7 linked regions of the Oryctolagus cuniculus genome follow. The protein of the gene in region 1 interacts with the protein of each later gene in a pairwise test. Links are inferred from orthologs where the notes say so. Each region holds a gene or a part of one and is shown in the gene's direction. Other genes may lie near its edges. The genes, in order: CBY2, CCHCR1, PLEKHN1, DZIP1L, CNNM3, ARMC7 and TXLNA.

Region 1 (3,938 bases):
ACGGCGCCGGCCGCATGTTAGGTCTTAAAGCAAAGCTTTCTTGTAAATTTGGGTGTGGGGGACTCAAAAAGGTGGTTCTGGCTGGTGTCTCAGGATCTGCTGCCTCTGGTCCGTCATTCCCTTCTTACTGCACGTAGGGTTGGGGTGTGCCACTGGCTTACGGTACAAGAAAAGGCTCCCATGAACAGCCTCTAGTGGTGAATGATTTGCCCGAAGTGAGGCCAGGGCATGGGGCATTGTGGTCTTGATGCTGTTACCTCCGTGGTATAATAAGAAAATAAACTCTGCTTTTGTCCTTGATTCCTGGCACAGAGCTCCTAAAATCCTTGGCATTTCCTCTGTGTCTTTTGTTATTCATAATGAGCCCCTTTGGAACACACCTGAGTTTCAGCTAATGAGGCAACCCTTGAAGGCTGGGGGCTGCCGCCAGAAAAACTGACCATGTGATTAAAAAGAGGAAACTCTCATCACCACCCCCCAACCCCTACCTCTAGGAAGGGGGGAGGGGCTGGAGATTTAAACAACCACGCCTGTGTAATGAAACCTCAACAGTGGGGTTCAGAGAGTTTCCTGGTGGGAGGACACGTGGACGTGCTGGGAGAGTGGCTGCCCAGGGCTGGCACGGCCACTCCACACCACCCTCAATGCCCAATACCTTCCCTGTGCATCCCGTCTATTTGGTGTTCCTGAGTTGTGCCCCTTATAAGAAAATGGTCATCATAAGTAAAGTGTTTTCTTGAGTTCTGTGAGCCATTCTTGCAAATTATTGAAGCCAAAGAAGGGGTCATGGAACTCCTGGTTTATAGCTGATCAGTCAATGGTACAAGTGGCATCTGAGGTGAAGGCAGCTTGGTGGGACTGAGCACCTAACCTCTGGGATCTGGCACTCGCTCCAGGTCGATGGTTTCAGGGCGTCCACTGGTGACAGCCCTGGGGAATCAAGTGGTGCCACAAAGCTCCTGAGTCCCTCTTTCCTCCTTTGGTCTGGGAATTCAGTTGGTATTTCTTCTTGAGCAATACAACTACAAGTAGATAATGCCCCTTCTGGAGAGAGGACGGCCTGGCAGTGGGGATGACCAATCAGGGCCTGGTGTTTGGGGTATTGTGTGTCACACTGACCCTACTTAGCCACGTGGTCACAGATGCTGCAAAACTCTTCCTACCTGCCAGATGCTTCGTTCCCACCTGTGACGCTCAGAGAGAAACCATGAGCCCTGCAGAACACCATATTGTTTTGTGATGTCACCTCTGGAATGTTCTGAGTGTTTTGGTGACCAACTTCTGCACAGGACCTATACCTGGCACCTCACATTGGTATGGCTTTTTGCTTGGGAGGGAAACAGTAGTCTTACACAAGGATGTAGATATTAGCAATCAGTGCTTCAAAGACATCAGCTATAGTATCTGTATGAATTTGTTTAATAAAATATCAGAGATTGTCCACACACATTTGCAGATGCAGATTTTCATAATGTACCTAATTGACAAGAAGCAAATAAATGAGTAGAAAGTCCTATAATTGTCAGATGAGCAATGGAGGCCCAGAGGGTGGGTTGGGCAACAGAAATTTTCCTCTTTTCTCTTTTCTACAGCACTCGAGGCCAAATTTTACAAGAAAACGAGATACCAGATCTGAAAGCCTAGAAATCCCAATCAATGTGGTTCTGCCTCAGGTAGGATTAATCACAGAAGGATGAAATCTGCCCGTTTAAGGCAGAATAACACTCCTCTTCCAAAACTCCAGCCTGATGTGGAGTAAGCTGAAGAGTCAAGGCCTCCGATTCTAGTTGTGCATTTGACCACCCACCCATTCTGTGCCTGGGGGAGGAAACATGGCCTCTGTGGGCCTTGGGTTCCTCTTCTCTCATACGAGGAGTGTGAATTAGATGACCTGGCCACCCTAACATTTCAAGTTTCTATGCTAGACTGAAAACAAAAAAAAACAAAAAACAATCAAATATTCATCCTCAAAGGGAGATCTTTGGTGCTTGGTGATGTATTAGCACTCTGGATTTCTAGGGGGACAAGTAGACCTGGGGCTTGGGGTCAAATGCTTACGAATGAGTCCATGAGGAGAAAACCTAGCACATTGACTGGATGCTAAGGTATCATTTGGAGATGTCAATAGAATTAAGCCCTGCTGTGTACCAAAGAGAGAGCATAAAGGATACGTGCATGGTTTTGTTTGTTTTGCTTGTTTGTTTTTTTAGGACAATGTGTAGGTGCAGTTCTGACAGGCTGGATTTTTTTTTTTTTTTTTTTTTTTTTTTTTTTTTTTTTTTTTTTACAGGCAGAGTGGACAGTGAGAGAGACAGAGAGAAAGGTCTTCCTTTGCCGTTGGTTCACTCTCCAATGGCCGCCGTGGCTGGCGCGCTGTGGCCAGCGCACCGCGCTGATCCGATGGCAGGAGCCAGGTGCTTCTCCTGGTCTCCTGTGGGGTGCAGGGAGCCAAGCACTTGGGCCATCCTCCACTGCACTCCCGGGCCACAGCAGAGAGCTGGCCTGGAAGAGGGGCAACCGGGACAGAATCCAGCACCCCTACCAGGACTAGAACTTGGTGTGCCGGCGCCGCGAGGCGGAGGATTAGCCTAGTGAGCTGCGGCACCAGCCAACAGGCTGGAGATTCTAAGGTCTTCTCCTGCAAGTGGCTGTTTCCTTGGTGGGGTTCTCTTGATTGGATTGTTTCTACTGCTGTTATGTCACAAAGGGCATGGCCTTGCTTCTCCCAGAGTCACTCAAGGCCCCTTTGGAAGACCATGGGCATGCAGTCAGAGGGGTTGAAATGTAGAATGGAGAGATCCAATGCAGAGGTAACTATCTGACAGCTCTGTCCAGAGTCATGTAGGAGGGTGGGTCACCAGTGGGCATTCTATGTATGTGACTGAACAATCTAGGCATGTATGTTCAGCAGGAGGCACAAATAGAGGACAAGAAAATATTCTGGATGTTTGTTTTCACATTATCCTTAAAACTCTGCAAGTAACAGACACTTTCTATCTGTTTCAGCTCATGAGACTTAGCCAGAATATAGCATTGCTGATCATTTGACAGGATGATGATAAGCTACAGGAACCTTTCTAGGTCCAATTCTTTCTGTTGTATACAGGGAATTCCATTGGACACTATTCCTTTTGATGGTCGGTGTTGCTCCTTTGATTCTTCATAGCCTGTGTAATTCAATCTTTCCATTGTTAAAGGATGGGTAGAAGATGCCAATCCAGGGTGGGGTGGAGGTGACAGTGAGGGTGGGAATAGGATTTAAATAAGTGATGGTCACATGATAGAAAGATTGGAGAGATTCTTCTATCTATATCCAGCACAACTTCCCCTATCCACTCCCAGAAACATCCTAGCAATCAAGGAGGAGAAAAGGAGGCTTGAGACTATGTCCCTGGCTTGTCCTGGGGCCACCCACTTTCTGTGCTATAGGACCTGGTACAGCTGTTGGGCAGTTGGAAGACAGGGTGGGTGTACAGTGAGGAAAATGTTCAGCAATTATCTGGGCACATGTACCCCATGTGGACAGATGTGGCCTCAGGGGTACACATGACAAAGAAGCACAACCAGGAAGCAGGTTGAAGGCACCTTCCAGGATACTGTAGACTAGTCATCTGCAGGAAGGAAGTGGGCAAACCACCACTAGTGCTGTGAGAAAGATGATGTGTTTGCTAACTCTCCCAACATGAGATGGTGCACACAATTGGAGGTAAGCATTGGCAGAGGAGAAAAGAGGGGGAGAAGTGTTGACTGAATATTGATCTATTGATCATATCATGTTTTGAGCACAAAGACACGCAAATGTAAGATTTTCTAGGTATGGGAACCAGGAATTCCTAGAGCCCTTCAGGTAATAGTAGGGTTGGAGTCAGGATCTTGAACCAGGTCAATATCCATACTCACTTGGCTGCACCAGGTCACCTCTTAGCTCTATAAGTCTT
Region 2 (2,872 bases), on another chromosome or scaffold:
TAATCCATGTAATGCTACATGCCTGCTGCTAGATCTCGCATCTGCAATGCCGTGCCCGGTCCCTTCTTTTTTTTATTCTTAAAGAGTTATTTACCCATTTGAAGGTCAAAGCTACACAGAGAGAGGAGAGGCAGAGAGAGAGAGAGAGGGAGGAAGGGAGAGAGAGAGGTCTTCCATCCTCTGGTTCATTCCCCCAATTGGCTGTAACAGTCGGAGCTGTGCCGATCTGAAGCCAGGAGTCAAGAGCTTCTTCTGGGTTTCCCACGTGGGTGTAGGGGCCCAAGGACTTGGGCCATCTTCTACTGCTTTCCCAGGCCACAGCAGAGAGCTGGATTGGAAGTGGAGCAGCTGGACTTGAACCGGCGCCCATATGGGATGCTGGCACTGCAGGCAGTGGCCTCACTTGCTGTGCCACAGCGCCAGCCCCGGCCCGGTACCTTCTAAGGCAGTTGCAGCCCGTGTCCCTCATGCCGACTTGGTAGTCATGGCCTTGCTGAGGCTGTCATAGAGCCTTGGGAAAGAGCTGCTTCGTGCTAGTAGCGGCCTCCCCAGGCACCGGGGTCCTTGGGATGGGCGGTAGGCGGTCCGTGTGGAGCCCTTGGTGCGGTGCTGGTGTGTAGTTTGTGCTCTGACTGTCCACGGTCCTCACAGGGCTGTCCTGGATGCATCAGGGGAGTTCTGGGGGTCAGCAGGATGGGCCTTTGCAGCCACGGCCTTCTCTTGGATTCACTCCTTGGGAACCCATTGGCTTGAACAAACTGGGAGCCATTTGCAACCTGCTCCGCACCGGCCTGGGTATGCGAGCCAGCACCCAGATTCCGCCCGTTGCAGCTGCGCCTGCCTCCAGGAGAGCAGAAAGACAGGCCGGGGGCAGGGTTTCCTGTGGTGCCCAGGGGTCAGGCAGGGTTCTCGCTGAGTTCTTGCCAGAAAGCACCAACTTTGGGATGTTACCAGGTTGGCGACACAGTCCCTAGGTGACTCAATGGCTGTGTCAGAAGATGGATCTTAAAGTTTTTCTTAAATTTATTTTTTATTTGAAAACCAGAGAAACTGAAAGAGAGAGAGAAAGATAGCTCTTCTGTCTACCAGTTCACTTTCCAAATGCCCACAGCAGCTGGGGCTTAGCCTGGCCTAAGCCAGGAACCCAGAACTTGATGTGGGACTCCCACGTGGGTGGCAGGGACCCAAGTACCAGAGTTGTCACCTGCTGCGGCCTCCCATGGGGTGCACTGGCAGGAAGCAGAAGTTGGAAGTGAAGCTGGGACCTGAACTCATGTGCGATGCAGACGTCCCGAGAGGCGGCCGTGTTGTTGACCTCTGCTCCTCACACCCACCCCTGGAAGTGGCTTTAGAGCCACGGCCTGTGCTGGGCGCTCCCACCGAAAGGGTTCCTCGCTGTACTTGCTGTGGTCACCGCTTGTTTTTCCGTCTCCGAGGAAGCTCCAGGCCTGCCCCCGTTTTCCCCTTGGGCCTCCTCCCAGGGCTCCCAGCTGAAGCCCCTCAGTTTTCATGGGCCGTGCTGGTTCTGCTTCTGGGCCAGCAGCTGATGCCACTCACAGACCTGCCCTTCACGTGTCAGGGAAACCACACTCCTGGGCTTGTTCGAGAGCTGCGCAGCAGTGATCCAAGACCAGGTGGTGAGAAATCAGCTTTAGGGCCGGCGCTGTGGCGTAGCGGGTAAAGCCACGGCCCAGGAAAGCAGTAGACGATGGCCCAAGTGCTTAGGCCCCTTCACCCATGTGGGAACCCTAGAAGAGGCTCCTGGCTTCGGATCAGCCCTGTGGATGGAACCAGTGGATGGAAGAGTTCTCCCTGTATGTCTCTCCCTCTATTTCTGTAACTCTGCCTTTCAAATAAATAAGTAAATCTTAAAAAAAGAAAAAGAAAAGAAGCCCCGAGTTTGCCTGAAAAGATAAGGCAGTCGTCTGAGGCCTTCTTGAGGGGCAGGGGCTCCTTAGACATGGAAGCTTCGGGCCGTGTTCTTCCACCACAGACGTGGCGCGGCGTCCAGCGCCAGGAATCCCAGGCCCTGGAGACGGCCTCGTGGCCTGCAGGGGAGCGAGTGGCCATCAGGCAGAGACCAGGCCCTGCGGCGTTGTTGTCACTGAGCCCTTTACAGCCTGGGGCGCCCGGGGCCAGATGGGGCTCCTTGCACCTTGCTGTGTTGATTGCAGGGCTTTTATTGGGGACACTGGTTCTCAGGATCCAAATGAGAAGTTTACTCTGCATGGGTTGTGGGACCAGGAATAGCTGTGCTTTTTAAAATATTTTTATAAGCAACCAGATCGTATTTCTGTGACAGTCGCTAAAAGGCTAAAGCTCCTCCCAGGTTTTGTTTTAGCAGCTGCAGCATAGGGCATGAGGTTGGGGCACACGTGCCCCAGGTCCTACCCCTAGCCTCTCTTGTTTCCCTTCCCTGCTTCCCCCCACCCCCACCTGTGCGACAGTGCAGGATGGGGGGAGGGGTCTGTGCAGGCCCCAGGCCCTGTGGGGGTGAGGTGCGGGTCAGCGGTCAGCGGCCTGTGCTCCTCCAGCTCCCAGGTCTGCCTCCAGAGCACCATGGCTAAGGTGGAGCAGGCGGTGGCCCGGCTGCCCAGCCTCAGTAACCGACTCAGCTATGCCGTCCGCAAGGTCCACACTGTCCGCAGTGAGTTGGGGGTGGTGGTGGGCTCTGAGCTGCATCCTGGCCCAGCCCTCTGATCCCTCGGCCACTTCCTCCTCCTGCTCACCAGCCCACACGTTTCTGCTTCCCGGACTCCCCTTGCAAACTCAACCTGTCGCTTTCCATCTTTTCTCTCCAGGTCTCATGGCTCGAAAACTGGCCCTTGCACAGCTGCACCTGGAGAGGTAAAGTGTGGGCAGTGTGTGTGTG
Region 3 (4,093 bases), on another chromosome or scaffold:
GTACGTGGCGGGGGGCAACGACGGCACCAGCTGCCTCAACTCGGTAGAGAGGTACAGCCCCAAGGCCGCAGCCTGGGAGAGCGTGGCGCCCATGAGCATCCGCAGGTGGGTCTGCGGGCCAGGGTCGGTGGTCAGGGCTCACCCTGCGCTGCCCCGGGGCTAACCCCCGCCACCCCCAGGAGCACGCACGACCTGGTGGCCATGGACGGCTGGCTGTACGCCGTAGGGGGCAACGACGGCAGCTCCAGCCTCAACTCCATCGAGAAGTACAACCCCCGGGCCAACAAGTGGGTGGCCGCGTCCTGCATGTTCACCCGGCGCAGCAGTGTGGGCGTGGCCGTGCTGGAGCTGCTCAACTTCCCGCCCCCGTCCTCACCCACGCTGTCTGTGTCCTCCACCAGCCTCTGAGCCCCGGCGCCCCGCACGGAGGCCTCCCACGTGCCTTACGCCCCCTCTCCCGGCCCCCCGCGCCGTCTGTCAGTGTCTCGGTGTTCATCTCTGTGTGTGCCGTTTATTTATTGGTTATTTATTGGTTTATTATTTATTTGCGGATGAGCCGTTTGTTTACTTTTAAAGCGTCGCCGTCCTTTGGGTCTGGGGACCGAACCACCCTGGGTGACCTCCTGAGAGCCTATGCTGGGGGGAGGGCCAACCCTGGCCTGCTCTGCACACCGCCTGCTCCTGGCCTCGGGGTGCCGTCCCCATGTCCTGGGTCTCGTGCCAGGCTGGGCACACAGATCCTACACAGCAATACAGCCGATGTGGACAATAAACGTGTTTCTGGGGCTCCATGGGCTTGCGGCTGAGTGTCCATCCCTGGCCCCCTCTGTCCCCATGTCCTGCTCTGTGGGTGGGGTGCAGTGGGCTGTGAGGCCCCAGTGGCTGGCTGCCCACGCCCAGGCCTGGGTGCAGCTGCCTGCGCAGAGTGGGCCCCGGCTCACCCTTACATCCTGGGCACCTTTGGGATATGGATTGCAGCCTGGGGTTGGGGGCGGGGGGACAGGTCCTGGTTTCCCCTCCCCTCCCTGCTGCTAGCACACCCTAACCCTATCTCCCCTCAGCAGTGACTCAGACCACCTGGGGTTTATGTGGAAACAGAATGTTGGGGGGCGGAGCTGGAGGCTGAGATGAGGCCTCGCCTCTCTGGGGAGGTGGCCCCTGGCCTCACACCTGAGGCTGGCTGCGGGAGCCAAGTCCCTCCCAGAAGGGCTCCTCCCAGCCTGGCTCTCAGGTAGGGGTAGGACCGCCCAGAGCCCCGCCCCCTGGGCAGGGTGGGGGCTGGAGGCTCAGGACAGGGACCCAAACTCGGCGCCCTGCTCAGCCTTGGCTGGTCACTGCCACCCATGGGGAACAGCCAGTGCGTCCCCCAGGCCCCCAGGAGGCTCCGGGCGTCCTTCTCCAGGAAGCCGTCACTCAAGGGAAGCAGGTGAGAGGCGGGGCTGGGGCCCCCTGGGTCTGTGCCCAGCTGGCCGGGCTCTGAGCCCCTGGGCTTGTCCACAGGGAGGACGGCCGCAGGCAGCTGGCCAGCCTGCTTGGCGCCGGGGACAGCGCAGCCGACAGGATCTTCCACTACCTCCCTGGGCCGGTGAGCACCCCTCTGTTGCCATGTCCCCGCGTGTGGGCGACTGTGTACTGTGCGGTGCCTGGCTGGGGTCGGCCTTGGAGGGGGGCTGTGGCCCAGATCACAGTGGGAGGGAGAGGCAGCCCCGCCCTGGGGAGCTCCTGTCCCGAAAGTCGGGAGAGCGAAACTGAGGCGGGGCTGACTCAGAGATGAGCACCCCGCAGGGGCGGGCTGTGGGCGGGGCCTCCCTGCCACTGTACCAGGGTCTGGACTGCAGGCAGCTCGGGCTGGCCAGTGCCTGTACAGGGCCTCACGTACTGCAGGCGGCTGTCCACAGACCTGGTGGAGGGCACTGAAGCCCCCGTGGGACCAAGGGCTCCTCAGCAGAAACCCCATCCCCAGGTGGTGGTGGACTCAAGGAGGAACCAGGGACACGCCCACCGGGTGGGCAGGTTCCACCTGGTGCCTGGTTTCCCTGGCCCCCTCCCACTGCCCCTCGTGGCTGGGGAGCTTCTGCTGGCCGTGCCAGCCCTGGGTAGGGTCACCCCCTGGGCCGCATCTCAGACCCCAAGTCCATCTGTCCAGACCCACATTACATGGTCACCCCTGAGGGGCTCCCATAGTGTGCGGTCCCTACTGACCCTACCTTGCCAGGTCACAGCAGCTGGAGAGGGGCCTGGACCCGGGACGGGGGCCGCCCGGGGTGAGGGGATGAGCTCTAGGTAGTTACAGAGTGTTTTCTCCTGGCTGAGCCTCGGCTCCTGTGGTCAGCTCTGTGCCAGGCTTCGTCCCCTGTGCGGCGGGGACAGCTGTGTGGCCCTGCCCACGGATGTCCTGTTTTTCATGGGTGCTATCCTGGCATGAGCCCCCACTCGGCATGGGTGCAGGAGGCCCCACCCACAGGCAGGGAGGCTGGGGAAGCTGTGTCTGTCCGGCTGTCCGCATTCCTGGGCTTGTCCAAGAGGCAGCTTAGTTTGACCAGAGCACAGCTGCTGAGCAGGTAGCCCTTGCCTACACCCAGGGGCACGTGACCCCTGGCAGCGAGCCCCTCGGCCTCCGCAGCCCCAGCCGGGGCACAGGCCCTGGGGAGTGCCCAGTGGAGGGCTGTGTGAGCACCACCCTCCTGCCCGCCACTGGACACGTGGGCCTTGGCACCCCGCACATCCCAGCCCTGTCCCAGGTCCTAGGGTCACAGCAGCCAGGAAGACGGGCAGAGTGCCCAGTTGCCATGGCGTCTGGTTGTCACGGTGCTCCCATTGCCATGGCCAGACCGACGATGAGACACAGGAAGTCAGAGTGTGGCTGCCACGGAGGGGACAGTGGGAGAGGGGCTTACTGGGGTCTGCAGAAGCGGAGAGGGGCCCAGGTGGGGAGCTAGGGCTGAGTGGGCCTGTGCCTGCGTGGGGAGGCAGTGGGGAGGGGCACAGCTCCAGGAGAAGCCCTCCGACCACTGCCAGGATCCTGGCCTTTGCTGAGACCTGGGGTGCCCCATGGGGAGCTGGAGCAGCGGCACAGGCCGGCAGGGGCTGACCGGGTGGCACCCTTACTGCTGCGCCAGAGGCTTGACCAGGGCTGTGCCAGGAGTCGTGGCATCTCTGTGTTATCTGTGGGACTCTCCATGTGTGTTGTGTACTTACCCTGCACTGTGCTGCGTGAAAGGTGGTGGATAGGGTCTGCACCTGCACGTGTGTCCCTGTGCAGTGTGTGTATTCCCTGTGCAGGTGTGTCCATGTGCACCTGCACGTGTGTCCCTGTGCAGGGTGCATCCTTGTGCACATGTGCATGTGTGTCCCTGTGCAGGGTGCATCCTTGTGCACATGTGCATGTGTGTCCCTGGGCACATGTATATGTGTGTCCTCATGTACATGTGCATCTTTGTACATATATGCACGTGTGTCCCTGTGCACACATGCCCTTGTGCACATGGGGTGTGTCCATGTGTGCATCTCTGTGCATTGTGTCCTTGCGCGTGTGTGTCCCTGTGCAATGTGCATGTGTATCTTTGTGTATGTGTGTCCTTGTGCAGGTATGTGTCCATGTACACGTGTGCACGTGTGTCCCTAGACACGTGTGTCCCTGGGCACTTGTGCACGTGTGTCCTTGTGCATGTACATGTCCGTGTGTAACGTGCATGTGTGCATGCGTGTTTCTGTGCACATTATTGAGCTGCAGGTTAGTGTCTGTGGCCATGTGTCCCCCTGCTGGGCTGCTGGCTCTGGTCAGGCCGCATCCCTGAGCTCTGCCCCCTCAGGACACCCTGGACCCGGAGGACCAGGAAGAGAACCTGGAGCCACCCTTCCTGAGCGTGTACAAGAAGGCCAGGCGGAGGGTGCCCGTGAGGGCCCTGGGCAAGGTCGTGCACTACGCAAAGGTCCAGCTGCGGTCCCAGCACAGCCAGGTGGGGGCCGGGCTGGGGGGCCGCGCCCTGGGGCCCAGATGCCTTGAGGCCGGGCCCTTCCTCAGACCTGCAGCACTGCTCCCCCCAGGACACCAGCGACTGCTACCTGGAGCTGTTCCCTGCCCACCTCTACT
Region 4 (2,156 bases), on another chromosome or scaffold:
TCCCTGGGGTGTGAGAGTGTGTCCACCCGAGCACTGTGACTTCACTGTCAGTGCTGCATTTTACAGGGCAGTCAGCCGTTTCGATGGGAGGTGGGCTTTGCCTAGGGATTTTGGTGCCGCTATGGCTAACCTCCCACCCCCTGACCCCACCCCCGGCCCCGTGCTCTGGGTGCACTCACGGTGGACCAGGCTAAGTTACAGTGGCGTTGGCGAAGTGAGCCGTGTGACATGATCTTTCAACAGCAGTATTTGCAGCTTGCGGTGGCTGTGCCAGGTGTAACCTGGTGTAAGTGGAGGGATATGTGGGGTCCATGCCTCTGAGGCGTGGTGGCTAGTTCCCAATCACAGAGCTGGTGTCGCAGCCAACCGAGGTTCTCTTTTATGTCCCTGAAGTAAGCGGGGTGGAGTCACTATTTATTTACTTGAAAAAGTAAAAGGGTTTTTTTCGGGGACGACTGCTTTGGGCTGGCTGTGCTCATCGTGAAACCAGCTCCAGTCTCTTATGCTGCCTGGGTTCTTGCGCAGCAGCGTGGGTGTGGGAGGTCAGAAGAGTGAAAGCAGCCTCCAGGCAAACCCAGGGAGAAAGATCTAAGGGCAGACGGGGTGCCAACAGTGAGCCTTTTAACAAACACGAGTAGTCTAACAAGTATGTGTTTTTGTATCGAAAGAGTAGTAAGAAATGTGCTTTCCTAGCGAATCTTGTGATGGCCCGGGCAGCCACACTCGGTTGCGGTGGGCAGCCTCCAGTCCCTGCCAGCGACCCGTGGACCCCAGGGGATCCTATTAGTCTTACAGGAAAGCTCTTTGACCTGTTCAGCAAGTAGACTTCGAAATTCACCTTGTGCGTGGAAAGGGCATCGTGGAGACTTATGCCAAGCATGATGGGACTTGGGATGCAAATATTCCTGAAACGTGACATTTCCTAACAGCCCACAGTGGCTCACTGAGCATTTTTCTTCCCAAAATGACCATGCCTACTCCCACTCTTTCAAGGTTTTCTTACAGAATGGCTCACCGCCGTCTCAGCTGCATTTTCTGGCTAAGACTGAACTAAAGAACATGCAGCTTATTCCAGGCCTCTGCTCACTCAGGGCGCACGCTGGCCCGGAACTTCTCTGTCTCTTACTCCTCTTCTCTGTGGTTGCCCTGCCTTCTCCCTCCTGTCCTCTGCACACGTCCTCTGTGCACCTGGAACCTGGACATGCCCCCCCCGCCCCCAGGACCGTTCCTTTTCTGGGCTTTCCCCCTGACAGGGCCGCTTGTCCGCCTTCCAGAAACCCTCGTGCAGTCCATGGTCCGGAATCTCGAGAAGCAGCTGGAGACGCCCGTGAAGAAGCCCTCAGGAGGGGTTAGTCTGTTCTCAAGGCCGAGCACTGGCCCACGGGGAGCGGCCCCGGCAGGAAGGAAGGCCCAGGTAGGCTGCAGGACACTCGGGGTTCCCTGTCATTCCCCACAGAGTCCTGGGCGGCATGGGGCGGGGGCTGGGGAGGGGCCGACACCTGCAGGTGCCCCCGTCTCCTCCCCCCCCCCTGCATGCGCACAGACAGAGACGGCCACTTGGGAATGCTTGTTGTGTGCGTGTTGACGTCAGAGCCTTCTGGTTCATCATGGAAACTGCTTGGTAGGTTTGGTACTCGTATCTCTGCCTCTGGGAGAGCCTGGAAATTGCCCGGCTGGCTTCCGGCAGTGGCTGCCCTCCTCCCACTCTGCCTACTCCCCAGTCCTCGCTCTGCCTGGGAGCCCAGCACTAGGCTGGGTGTAGGGCAGACTCCCCCGAGGGAGGTGCCGTGGCCTGAGCGTGCTTCGGCTCCTGCGCTCAGGGGGCACTCTGAACTCCCAGTTTATCAGGTACTGCTATTCAGAGGGCAGAGATAGCCTAACGATGGTGTTTGGAAGATGGGCCTTGGGGGAGGGCCTTAGGCTGTTGCGGGAGCGCCCTCAGAGGCAGTTCCGGTGGAAAGTTTGGATCAAAGCCTGGGTTGGGCCCAGCGCTGTCTATCTCCTGGCTCCCCCTGTGCCCCAGGCTCCACTGCTGCCCTCATCAGAGGCCAAGCTAAGGGGGCTGCCCCATTGTGGTCTTATTTATTTATTTTTCTTTTTTTAAGATTTATTTATTTATTTGAAAGCCACAATTACAGAAAGGCAGAGAGAGAAAA
Region 5 (4,168 bases), on another chromosome or scaffold:
TCATCTTAAGAGTTTTTCACAAAATGTTTCCCCCTTGGTCAGACTCATTTTTGCACATTACTTTCCACACAGATATGTTTCACTTGATTGTGGCCACTCTGCGTACTTTTTAATTTTTTAAACAATTTTTTTTAAGTTATATGACTGGCAGAGACAGAGAAAGAATCTGCCATCCGCTGGTCCACTCCCTAAATGCTGCCAACAGCCAGGGCTGGGCCAGGAGGAGGCCAGACCTGGAAACTCAATCTGGATCGACCCATGTGGGTGGCCAGGACCCAAATCCTGGAGCCATCTTGCTGCCTCCCAGGGTGCAGATGATCAGGAAACTGGGATCGGGAGTGGAGCTGGGACTCAAGTCCAGATGCCTATATGGAATGTGGTGTCCCAAGGGGCTTCTTAACTGCCATGCTAAACATCTTCCCCTAAACTTATAAACTGTCGTTTTCATGACAGAGCAAGTTGGCACGGGGCTATCCGCCTTAAAAAAAAAAAAAAAAAAAAAAAAAACAAACAAACAAACAAAAAAAAAAAACACCGCAAAAGTGTAGAGAAGAAATAATACAGCTCAGCTGCAGGGGCCAGCCTGAATGCAGTTAGACTAGAAAGGCCGTGCGAGTTTCTCGGCCTCGGACTGACGGACTGCCAGGAGCCGGGCAGGGATTCCTGACATCGCGGCTACGGCGGTGGCGGTGGTGGCCGGGGCGTCCCGACGCCTCGGAACCCAACACGCCCGCGGAGTCTTCCTGGACTTCGCCTTTCTCCTGTCAGACACTAGTTACACCGAGTAGCTGTGAGGATCCAGTGAGGCTGGGATCTCGTGTGCACGTTTCCACCACACGTCTCCCCGGCGGGAAAGCGAGTTCCTTGAAGACAGGGCCTGTGTTGGCGTCCCGGGGCCTACAGCCGCAGTTAAACCTCGGCACAACCCCAGCCGCTGGTTCTGGCTCCCAGGGCCCGTTCCTAGGAAAACAGCACGCTCCCACTCGCTTCCATCTCCGTCAGCAACTTCAGGTACGCCGGGACCCGCGGCTCAGGCGAGCACCCGCTCCCGCTCAGTGCTCCAGTCCCGAGCAAGGGCCCGCGGCTCCCGCGAGGCCTCGGGACGGGTCGGAGGCCCTGCCCGCCCCGCCACGCCCCAGCTCGCGGCTCCGCGTCCTCCGAGAGCCGGCCACCCAGTGCCTTCGGAGCGGCGGCGGGGCTCGCTGGGGCGGAGAACCCCACGCCCCCGGCCCGCCCCGCGCCGCCGCTTGTTTACTCCCCGGCGCAGCCTAGTCCGACCCTAGGGCCCGCCCCCGCCCGCCGTCTATTGGCCGAGGGGGCGCGAAGGCCGGTCATGATTGGGCCGCGGGAGGCGGAGGCCGCGGGACGAGCGGGGTAGGCTGCGCGAGAGGCCGAGAGGGGGCAGCAGGCGATGGCGGCGGCGGCGGCGGCGGCGGGTCGGCTGGGCTGGTTGTTCGCCGCGCTCTGCCTGGGCAACGCCGCGGGGGAGGCGACGCCAGGTCTGCGAGTGTTGGGCTTCTGTCTGGAGGAGGACGGAGGAGCGGTGCGGGCCGCGCCGGAGGCCACCTTCCGCCTGCGCCTCTTCGGCTCCGGGTTCGCCAATAGCTCTTGGACCTGGGTGGCCCCGAAGGGGTCGGGCTGCCCCGAGAGTGGGTCGACCGCGGCGCCCGAGGAGGAGGCGGGGGCGGCCCCCACGGACGAGTGGCGCGCGCTGCTGTGCCTGCGCTCCGAGACCGTGCGCCCGCACTCGGCGCTGCTAGCTGTGCGCGTGGAGCCGGGCGGCGGGGCGGCTGAGGAGGCGGCGCCACCCTGGGCGCTGGGCTTGGGGGCGGCCGGGCTGCTGGCGCTGGCGGCGCTGGCGCGGGGCCTGCAGCTGAGTGCGCTGGCGCTGGCGCCGGCCGAGGTGCAGGTGCTTCGCGAGAGCGGCTCGGAGGCGGAGCGTGCGGCGGCGCGGCGACTGGAGCCCGCGCGGCGCTGGGCCGGCTGCGCCCTGGGCGCGCTGCTGCTGCTGGCCAGCCTGGCGCAGGCGGCGCTGGCGGTGCTGCTGTACCGCGCAGCCGGCCAGCGCGCCGTGCCCGCCGTGCTGGGCTGCGCGGGGCTGGTGTTCCTAGTGGGCGAGGTGGTGCCGGCCGCCGTGAGCGGGCGCTGGGCGCTGGCGCTGGCGCCGCGCGCGCTCGGCCTCAGCCGCCTGGCGGTGCTGCTCACCTTACCGGTGGCGCTGCCCGTGGGGCAACTGCTGGAGTTGGCGGCGCGCCCCGGGCGGCTGCGCGAGCGCGTTCTGGAGCTGGCACGCGGCGGTGGCGACCCCTACAGCGACCTCAGCAAGGGCGTGCTGCGCTACCGGACGGTGGAGGACGTGCTCACGCCGCTCGAGGACTGCTTCATGCTGGACGCCAGCGCCGTGCTGGACTTCGGCGTCCTGGCCAGCATCATGCAGAGCGGCCACACGCGCATCCCCGTGTACGAGGAGGAGCGCTCCAACATCGTGGACATGCTCTACCTCAAGGACTTGGCCTTCGTGGACCCGGAAGACTGCACGCCTCTGAGCACCATTACGCGCTTCTACAACCACCCGCTGCACTTCGTCTTCAACGACACCAAGCTGGACGCCGTCCTGGAGGAGTTCAAGCGAGGTAACGGCTGGGGCACCGCAGAGGGGATGTCCGTGCCCGAGCTTGGCCCTGGGGAAGGAGAGGGGGCTCATGGGGCCGTCGGGGAAAAGGCCCCACTCCTGGAGAGGGCAGGGGGCCCTCTAAGGGCCGGTTTTAAGAGGGTGGTCGCGTTGCAGATGGGAATGACCTTTTAAAGTGTTTAAGGACCCCGCCCTTCAGAGGGGACAGAGTGCCATGGAACGCAAACACCTCTCTTTCTCTCTCTCTCTCTCTCTCTCTCTCTCTCTCCACGGTGGCCCCCGTGTTGGGGACATACCTCTCACTGATTCTAAACCTCCCGGGTCTTCCCGGCTCCCAGGCCATTTCTGTTGTGCCTGGGGTCGGATGTAGCAGATTGAAACTCTTGGATAGAAACTAAAAGGACACGGAGAAGGTGGCTTCCAGATCCGGGCCTAGCTGCCCCTGTGGTGTCCCCAGGGCGTTGGTGGGGTCCCTGGCTGATGGCTGTTTTTCTGAGTGACAAGGGCATGACTCATCAGTACTCCTCCTTTCCTACAGGTATGGAGAGAACTTTCTCTTTGATTTCATCAGAAGCAGCTTCGTGGATGCTGATTTAATCTCTCCTTCCCCTGACTTCCCCTTTTTTTTAAACCTCCCCTCAGGGTCTCTCAGCTTCTCCTCTAGCTCCTTTTCACCCCTCCTTTCAACCCTGGCTTTTCTGAGTGACTCCAAGGTTGAAGGTAAAACAGGCCCTCAGCGTGTGAAATGTGGGTCCCTCTGCAGCCGTCTGCATTGTCAGCCTTGGGGGTGCTATGTGCTTCTCTCACCTGAACTCCCGCAGGATCGGGGTGGGGGCACCCCGTGCTGTGGACGGGCTGTTAGCACGTGAGCAGAGCCCTCCGACAGCCCTGGCAGGAGTGACCATGGTCCTCCTGCACTGGGCACAGCCTCGGGCCAAACCCTGGTAGGTGCGTTGCACTCCACATGTCTTTTAATTCTTGGACCCACAGCTGTGTCTGGTCTGGTGGACTCTCTGGGGGCCCTGGCTCCTTCCCTTCAACGTGGCCATGCAGCCCTACTCTGGGGAGGGCTTTTGTGTGGGGCCCAGACACAGCGTGCTGGTGGCAAGTACTCTGTCTAGATCCCAAACAGTGGGCTCTCTCGAGGCGTGGTGGTCAGCAGTGTGGCCCTGGAGTCAGCCAAGTGCGTTCCATCCTGCCTGGCCTGCACTGTGCTCCTGGGCCCAGGGAAGGCTGCCTGCCTCTCCCGGCTCAGGGTCCTCAGTGGTTAGCGATAGGAGGGGTAATGAGAGGATCGGGGAGAGGAGATGCGGGGCGCCGGGGCCTGGGTGTTCGTTGCTAGGAGGGTGATGATTGCTCACGGCTGGGAGCTCTGCAGATGGGTAGGTTCGCCTACTCCTGGGGAACCAGTAGCAGAGGTCACACTGCAAGTGCAGGCTTTATCCCTTCTGCGTAGGGAACTTGTATAGAGGCCACAGCTGTCCCTTTGATGGCCTAAGCTGTCACATTTCAAGGTGTCTTAAATGCTCGGCTCAC
Region 6 (3,324 bases), on another chromosome or scaffold:
GACTCCGGGCCCTGGGGGAGCAGCAGAAGAGGGCACTGTGCCCTCTTGCTGGGGAAGGTCCGGAAGCCCACTTCTCTTTTTGAGTCTCCAGAGAAACAGGGAAGTGGGTGGGGCTGGACCTCCTGCTCCTGATTGGTCCATCAAGACTCCTTGAATATCTTATGTAAATGAGCTGAGACAGGGCTCCCTCCAACTGAGCAGGAACCTAGAGGTGGGGGCGGGGCAGTGGCAGGAAGCTGAGTTGATGCGCAGGAAGCCCTCTTCCAGCATTGAGTAACCAGTGCTAAGCACTGAGCCTCTAGACAAGGCAGCATCTGTCCCCAGGGCGGGGGGGGGAGGTGATTGAGTTGAGGCTGCCTGAGCTGAGAGCAAGGGGGAGGGGTCTGCTCACACCTCCTGAGTACATGGGTTCCTTCTGGAGCCTTCCCTGCTTCTCCCAGGGTCCCAGCAGCAGTGGCACCGGCCAGGGGGATGAGTTGCCCTCATGGGAATGGCACTAAATGCCGCAGTGCGGTCGTCCACCTGCAGCCGCTGCTCTCCACCGCAAGGTGATGCAGTGTTCATGGACTGGCTGGCACAACGGCCAGGAGAGGCCCCTTCTCTGTTAGAGATTCGTGTGCATTCACAGGCTTCAAGATTATGGGATGAAAAATAGATGACTGGAGGGTAGGAGTAAGCTGCTTTAGCCGCTGTTTAGTAGGTGTGTTGAGGTATGACTGATGTAAGTGGTCCATATTTGAAGGGTACAATTTGATAAGCTTTGACATGTAAAAACCATCACTTTACCTATGTATAAAAATTCTTCTAAAGTGATGGTGGGCGAAGTATTGTGTGTTTTTTGTTTAAAGATTTATTTATTTATTTGAAAGGCAGAGTTACAGTGGCTGGAGGGTGGACGATAGATGTCCCATCCACTGGCTCACTCCCCAAGTGGCCACAACAGCCAGAGCTGGGCCAAGCCAAAGCCAGGAGAGCCAGGAGCTTCATCCGGGTCTCCCACGTGGGTGGCAGGGCCCAGGTACTTGGGCCATCCTCCAGCGCTTTCCCAGGCACATTAACAGGGAGCTGGGCCAGAAGTGGAACATGTAGCAGTTTAACCCATTACACCACCACAACAGCCCCATTGATTTTATCTTTAAAAAAGAAAAACATGTCAGCCATCAAGCTGGATGAACCAAGAGGGAACGGGAATTTTGCCCACTTCAGAAGTCCTTTCTGGAACCTTTGAGAGAGAGGACAGGAGAGCACACAGACTCTGGATCCTGGCTCCAGGGCCAGCCTCTCACAGGCCTGGGTCCTTCCCGGGACTCCGTGGGCAGGGAGGCTTGGGGAGCAGAGATGGGAGGAAGCCCAGGGCTGCAGCCCAGACTGTCTTGCTCTCTCGCAGGAGGCCTCTGCAACCTGTGCCCGGACAGAGCCAACAAGGAGCACATCCTGCAGGCGGGGGGCATCCCGCTCATCACCAACTGCCTGTCCAGCACCAACGAGGAGACGGTGCTGTCCGCTGTCACCACGCTCATGTACCTGGGCTCGCCGGGCGCCGGCTGCCACCCGGAGCTGACCGCCATGCCTGTGGTCCAGTGCATGCTGCGCTTCTCTCTCTCGGCCAACACAAGGCTCCGGAACCTGGCCCAGATCTTCCTGGAAGACTTCTGTTCCCCAAGCCAGGTGGCCGAAGCCCGCAGCCGGCAGGCCCACTCCGCCCTGGGCATCCCACTGCCAAAGTCCGAGGCCCCACAACAGCCCTGATCTGAAGCAGCCCCTGGGCGGCAGCAGCTTACTGCCAGACACCATGGTCGTGGGGCAGGGAGCAGGCGGGGAGCAGGCGGGGAGCAGGCAGGGAGCAGGCGGGGAGCAGGCGGGGAGCAGGCAGGGAGCAGGCGGGGAGCAGGCAGGGAGCAGGCGGGGCCGGCTCCCCTGGGCACGCTCTGCCAGGACTGTGCTGTCTCAGCCACTTCACAGGTGAGTTTCGCAGCACGACAGATACTCTGATGAGAGGGCACTAGGGCAGGAAGCCAGACTCGGGGACACATGGAGACGGACGCCAAAGCTGACGCCGTCTGCACAGGCTGGCGCTGCCGCACTGCTAGGTCCCTGGGTCCAGAGGCTTTCAGAGGGGCAGGTTCTGAGCCGGAGGCAGAGAATTGCCTGCACTTGAAGAAATAAGGGCCTGCAGTCATTTTGAGGAACAGAAATGATCTGTGGGCATAAGAGCACGGGCCCCAGGGAGCCGGGGGCGTCACACCTCCTCCAGGGCTGCGCTGAGATGGACCCCTCCCGTCCAGCTCCCAGGCTGGCACCCAGGCGTGGCAGTCGCCGAGCTGGGTGCAGGATGACGTCCTGCTGTCTGCCAGACATCATGGAAGGGACTCCGAAACGAAGGCGCGGTCCCTGCCCTCGAGTGACAGCCGTGACTGTTAACGTGGCATCAGGACCAAGGCCGTGCGGGTGACGCCGCCTCAGGACAAAGGCAGAGCTGTTGGAGCTCAGTCTGTGCCCTCACCACCCGCGCCCCCCCCACACAGTGAAGGGGGGCCCTCACCCCTGGAAGTACCCCACGCCCCCCCACATACACATGGTGAAGGGGGGCTCTCACCCCTGGAAGCACCCTGCACCCCCCCCGCACAGTGAAGGGGGCCCTCACCCCTGGAAGTGCCTCCGAGGCAGGGACTGGAGACATTCAGGAAACGTGGGGCCAGAGTGGTGCCCAGGCGGGCGTGGCACTGAGGCAGGTTCTGCAATCTGCACTCGGGAGAAGGGACGGAGGGGAGCCATCCTCAGCCCCGTTCCAGCTGCTCCCCAATAAAAGGTCTCCAAAGACAGAGTCAAAGTTTTTTATTAAAAGCGTCATGACTGCTCTTCCCACTGTTCCCATGCCAGCCCGGCACTGGGTGCAGCCATCCCTGGAGATGCCAGCTGGCCGGGCCTGCACCAGTGTCTCCCTGGCGCTGGTGCCACTGGCTCCAGGGGGCTTCCCTGCGGCCACTGTCCACACGGGCCTGTTCACTGCCGGCCGGCTCTGCGCTTGCTGTCTATGATCTCCCTCCAGTTGTCGCTCCAGGAGAGCAGCCGCCGCCTGGTCGGGGGCAGGGCCAGGTGCCGATTGTGGCAGCAGGTGAACAGGATGTGCTCCCAGCTGGGGGTCTCCTCGTGGCCTAGGACAGGGGAGCGGCCAGCAGGTGACCGGTAAGCTGGTTATTTTTACTCCCGCCCCCTAATCCTGGCCGGCCAGAGGCCTGGGGTTGCCAAGGATAAACGGTCCAACCTTGAATGGTGTCCTTGTCATCAATGAGCAGGTCCCCCAAGACCACGGTCTTGTCCCGC
Region 7 (3,495 bases), on another chromosome or scaffold:
CGAGCTGTGGGGCCAGAGGTAGGAGTGCATTTACCACGTGGCGCTCCGGGAGCTGATTCCCTCCATAAACTCCTGTTTCCACCCCCGTCGGACTCTGGACGAGGAATGAGGTGAAAGGAGTTGGAGCCCACGGCCTGTGGTGTACATGGGGATCCAGCATGTCAGATTGAGCTGGGAGGCTGGGCCAGCTGTTCTGGCCTCTGCGGATGGCGCCTCAAGAGAAAGGGGGGTGCTGACGAGCCCGCCTCTCCGCTGTCTTTGCTGCAGCACATCGACAAAGTCTTCAAACACAAGGATCTGCAGCAGCAGCTGGTGGACGCCAAGCTCCAGCAGGCCCAGGAGATGCTGAAGGAGGCAGAGGAGCGGCACCAGCGGGAGAAGGACTTTGTGAGGCCCGGGCCCCGGGGCTGCGGCGGGAGGGCAGGAGGTGGGCTGGGCTCTGCTTTGGCTCAGAGTCAAGTCTGTGTGGATGGGGAGAGGTGGCTGCCTGGCCAGACCAGGCACTGCTTCCTTAGACATCAGTCAGAGGAAGCCTCGGTGGGTCCAATGCTTGTGGCTTAAAAAGGCCAAACACAGCCCCTGGGGGCTTCTGACAGGGTCTGGGCTCCTGTCTTGGAAATAGCTCCTGAAGGAGGCCGTGGAGTCCCAGAGGATGTGCGAGCTGATGAAGCAACAGGAGACCCACCTGAAGCAGCAGGTGAGACCGTGAACCTGACCCTGGGCCACAGGGTCAGGACCCCTCACTGGGTCCCTTCCTGGGGGGATGAAATGGGGCCCTCATTCTAGGCCTGGCCCTGCCCATCTGATCTGTGACCTTGGTGAGTCTGTTCTCTCTGGACCTGCCCAGCACCTGTGACCAGCACCTGGGACCAGGTGGTGAGATGAGCCCAGGGGTCTTTCTGCTGTGCTCAGAGGCGGAGTGTTTGATTTTGAGGAGATGGGGACAGAATGGTTTTCTTTCTTTCTTTCTTTCTTTTTTTGTTTTTTGTTTTTTGTTTTTGTTTTTTGACAGACAGAGTGGACAGTGAGAGAGAGAGACAGAGAGAAAGGTCTTCCTTTTGCTGTTGGTTCACCCTCCAATGGCTGCCACAGCCGGTGCACTGCACTGATCCGATGGCAGGAGCCAGGTGCTTCCTCCTGGTCTCCCATGCGGGTGCAGGGCCCAAGAACTTGGGCCATCCTCCACTGCCTTCCCGGGCCACAGCAGAGAGCTGGTCTGGAAGAGGGGCAACCGGGACTCAAACCCGGTGTGCCAGCGCTGCTAGGCGGAAGATTAGCCTATTGAGCCGCGGCGCTGGCCTAGAATGGTTGTTTCTTATCACACAAATTTTACTTGATTCTGGAGGAAAAATTTGAAAATAAATAGACAAGCAAAACATGTCACCTTAAATTCTGCTTCCCAGGCTTAGCATTTTGGCTTATATCTTTCCAGATATATAGTTCTGGTTTAGTTGTAAGGGAAAATGGATCTCAGTAGAATTGTTGGGTCGTAGTGCCCAGGAGGTCTGAGTGTGTTGACCAGAAGTGCCTTCCAGAGAAGCCCAGTCTTACCGCGGGCCTCTTTCTCACGCAGCTTGCCCTATACACAGAGAAGTTTGAGGAGTTCCAGAACACTCTTTCCAAAAGCAGCGAGGTGTTCACCACATTCAAACAGGAAATGGAAAAGGTAAGGAAGCTTTGGCCAGCTGTGGCTCCCCGGATGCAAGCTGCTTCATCAGATCAAACCCTGTGCCTGCCTTGGGGAAGCCCCCACCCAGTGTGCCTCCCCAGGAGCTGTTCCCAGCAGCTGAGATTGATAGCAAAGATGGGCCACTGGGCGCCATCACAGCCTTCCTCTGTGCGCGCCCTCCTGGCTCTGCCTTTGCCTGGCAGTCTCGTCATTTGTTCTTTTTCTTAAAGACATGACTGAGGTGGAGCAGATTGGGTTCTTTCATTTTTTTTGTTTGTTTTTGTTTTTTAAGACTTACTTTATTTGAAAGGCAGAGTTGGAGTGAGATCTTCGCTCTGCTGTTTTGCTTCCCAGGTGGTAACAACCAGGGCTCAGCCAGGACTGGGCCAGGCTAAGCCAGGAGCCAAGAACTTCATCCACATCTCCCACATGGGTGGTAGGGTTTCAAACTGGGCCATCTTCCACTGCTTTCCCAGGCGCATTAATGGAACTATATCGCAAGCAGAGCAGCCAGGACTCAAACCAGTGCCCATAGGGATGCAGGCATCTCCAGCAGTGGCTGAATGCCACAGTGCCAGCCCCAAGTCTGGTCATTTCTTGTTATTGATAGTGGACATTAGAGACTTCCAGGTGACAAGGCGGCCCAGAAGGCATTATAACTGGGCCCTGAAATGCCTTGCACTTTGGGGTTGTTCCCCACCTCTGAGATGTGGCTGTGCCAGCAGCCCAGCTCTCACCATTTCCTCCCATCTGTCTCATAACCCAGATGACAAAGAAGATCAAGAAGCTGGAGAAAGAGACCACCATGTACCGTTCCCGGTGGGAGAGCAGCAACAAGGCCCTGCTTGAGATGGCTGAGGAGGTGAGTCCTGTCGGATCGGAGGCAGGGGTCTGCGTGCGCAGCTACCACGTATCAGGCCTTTCTCTGCCCGTCGGCAGTGTGCCTGGAGTGAAGTAGAGCCGGGACTCAGACACACTATCCAAGTAAAAGCAGTGCCAGCACTCTCCCCTCACGGCTGTGCAGTGGAAGCAAAGGGAACAAGTGGAAAACGGGAATGGAGAGGCAGAAAGCGACAGCAGTGGGCGGGGAGCAGCGAGAGGCACACTTTGCACGCAAGGCAGCCTAGATAATTTGAGATTTCGTGGCTGGCAGTGCGGGAACAGGAAATGACACTGGAGCAGCAGCTGCAAGCCAGACCTCACTAAGTGTTGTACATAGGCCAGTTCATTGAGCACTCTCTTGAGACCTGAGGTTGTGTTAGCAGTCCTGTTTTACAGATGAGATAGGCTGAAAAGCTAGTACTTTGCCAAGGTCATCTGGAATACATTGTCTGCTCTCCAAGCCGGGTCCCTTCTCTGCACCTCACTGCTGCCAGTTGACAGCCAAGTTGTGACATAAACTAGCTCTGATATTAGAAGGGACTGACTTTATAGACTCTGGTCTGCTCCCAACCTTGGGGAAGTGTTTGCTACCAGGTGGTGCTGATGGGGAGATTGACAGGATGGCACTGAAGATCCCGTTTTTCCCCCTAGAAAACACTCCGGGACAAAGAGCTGGAAGGCCTGCAGGTGAAAATCCAGCGGCTGGAGAAGCTGTGCCGGGCACTGCAGACAGAGCGCAATGACCTGAACAAGAGGGTGCAGGACCTGAGTGCCGGTGGCCAGGGCGCCGTCTCCGACAGTGGTCCTGAGCGGAGGCCAGAGCCCGCCACCACCTCCAAGGAGCAGGGTGTCGAGGGGCCCGGGGCTCAAGTACCCAACTCTCCAAGGGCCACAGACGCTTCCTGCTGCACAGGTGCACCCAGCACAGAGGCATCAGGCCAGAC

What was found.
Region 2: the proteins of CBY2 (region 1) and CCHCR1 interact in binary tests that used the Homo sapiens proteins (3 or more experiments, as listed by UniProt). The two-hybrid records come from large-scale screens. The link is inferred for Oryctolagus cuniculus from reciprocal best matches to the Homo sapiens genes CBY2 and CCHCR1.
Region 3: the proteins of CBY2 (region 1) and PLEKHN1 interact in binary tests that used the Homo sapiens proteins (3 or more experiments, as listed by UniProt). The two-hybrid records come from large-scale screens. The link is inferred for Oryctolagus cuniculus from reciprocal best matches to the Homo sapiens genes CBY2 and PLEKHN1.
Region 4: the proteins of CBY2 (region 1) and DZIP1L interact in binary tests that used the Homo sapiens proteins (3 or more experiments, as listed by UniProt). The two-hybrid records come from large-scale screens. The link is inferred for Oryctolagus cuniculus from reciprocal best matches to the Homo sapiens genes CBY2 and DZIP1L.
Region 5: the proteins of CBY2 (region 1) and CNNM3 interact in binary tests that used the Homo sapiens proteins (3 or more experiments, as listed by UniProt). The two-hybrid records come from large-scale screens. The link is inferred for Oryctolagus cuniculus from reciprocal best matches to the Homo sapiens genes CBY2 and CNNM3.
Region 6: the proteins of CBY2 (region 1) and ARMC7 interact in binary tests that used the Homo sapiens proteins (3 or more experiments, as listed by UniProt). The two-hybrid records come from large-scale screens. The link is inferred for Oryctolagus cuniculus from reciprocal best matches to the Homo sapiens genes CBY2 and ARMC7.
Region 7: the proteins of CBY2 (region 1) and TXLNA interact in binary tests that used the Homo sapiens proteins (3 or more experiments, as listed by UniProt). The two-hybrid records come from large-scale screens. The link is inferred for Oryctolagus cuniculus from reciprocal best matches to the Homo sapiens genes CBY2 and TXLNA.

What each region holds. Positions count from the first base shown.
Region 1 is NC_091440.1:64,764,465-64,768,402, forward strand, and holds the start of CBY2 (protein chibby homolog 2), read left to right. Parts: upstream 1-1,138; 5' UTR 1,139-1,239; coding exon 1,240-1,314; intron 1,315-1,592; coding exon 1,593-1,673; intron 1,674-2,681; exon of another isoform or gene 2,682-2,696; coding exon of another isoform or gene 2,697-2,810; intron 2,811-3,938.
Region 2 is NC_091436.1:139,347,023-139,349,894, forward strand, and holds part of CCHCR1 (coiled-coil alpha-helical rod protein 1), read left to right. Parts: intron 1-2,534; coding exon 2,535-2,647; intron 2,648-2,801; coding exon 2,802-2,847; intron 2,848-2,872. UniProt on the Homo sapiens protein: May be a regulator of keratinocyte proliferation or differentiation.
Region 3 is NC_091438.1:164,381,874-164,385,966, reverse strand, and holds the start of PLEKHN1 (pleckstrin homology domain-containing family N member 1), read left to right. Parts: upstream 1-1,293; 5' UTR 1,294-1,343; coding exon 1,344-1,426; intron 1,427-1,500; coding exon 1,501-1,585; intron 1,586-3,812; coding exon 3,813-3,959; intron 3,960-4,047; coding exon 4,048-4,093. Other genes in the region: KLHL17 (kelch-like protein 17), read left to right, coding at 1-105, 180-806. UniProt on the Homo sapiens protein: Controls the stability of the leptin mRNA harboring an AU-rich element (ARE) in its 3' UTR, in cooperation with the RNA stabilizer ELAVL1.
Region 4 is NC_091435.1:143,622,615-143,624,770, forward strand, and holds part of DZIP1L (cilium assembly protein DZIP1L), read left to right. Parts: intron 1-1,274; coding exon 1,275-1,414; intron 1,415-2,156. UniProt on the Homo sapiens protein: Involved in primary cilium formation. Probably acts as a transition zone protein required for localization of PKD1/PC1 and PKD2/PC2 to the ciliary membrane.
Region 5 is NC_091433.1:110,906,312-110,910,479, reverse strand, and holds the start of CNNM3 (metal transporter CNNM3), read left to right. Parts: upstream 1-1,368; 5' UTR 1,369-1,411; coding exon 1,412-2,633; intron 2,634-4,168. UniProt on the Homo sapiens protein: Probable metal transporter.
Region 6 is NC_091448.1:5,391,084-5,394,407, reverse strand, and holds the end of ARMC7 (armadillo repeat-containing protein 7), read left to right. Parts: intron 1-1,387; coding exon 1,388-1,749; 3' UTR 1,750-2,824; downstream 2,825-3,324. Other genes in the region: NT5C (5'(3')-deoxyribonucleotidase, cytosolic type), read right to left, coding at 3,004-3,155, 3,266-3,324. UniProt on the Homo sapiens protein: As a component of the minor spliceosome, involved in the splicing of U12-type introns in pre-mRNAs.
Region 7 is NC_091438.1:140,262,502-140,265,996, reverse strand, and holds part of TXLNA (alpha-taxilin), read left to right. Parts: intron 1-267; coding exon 268-387; intron 388-622; coding exon 623-697; intron 698-1,573; coding exon 1,574-1,666; intron 1,667-2,435; coding exon 2,436-2,531; intron 2,532-3,202; coding exon 3,203-3,495. UniProt on the Homo sapiens protein: May be involved in intracellular vesicle traffic and potentially in calcium-dependent exocytosis in neuroendocrine cells.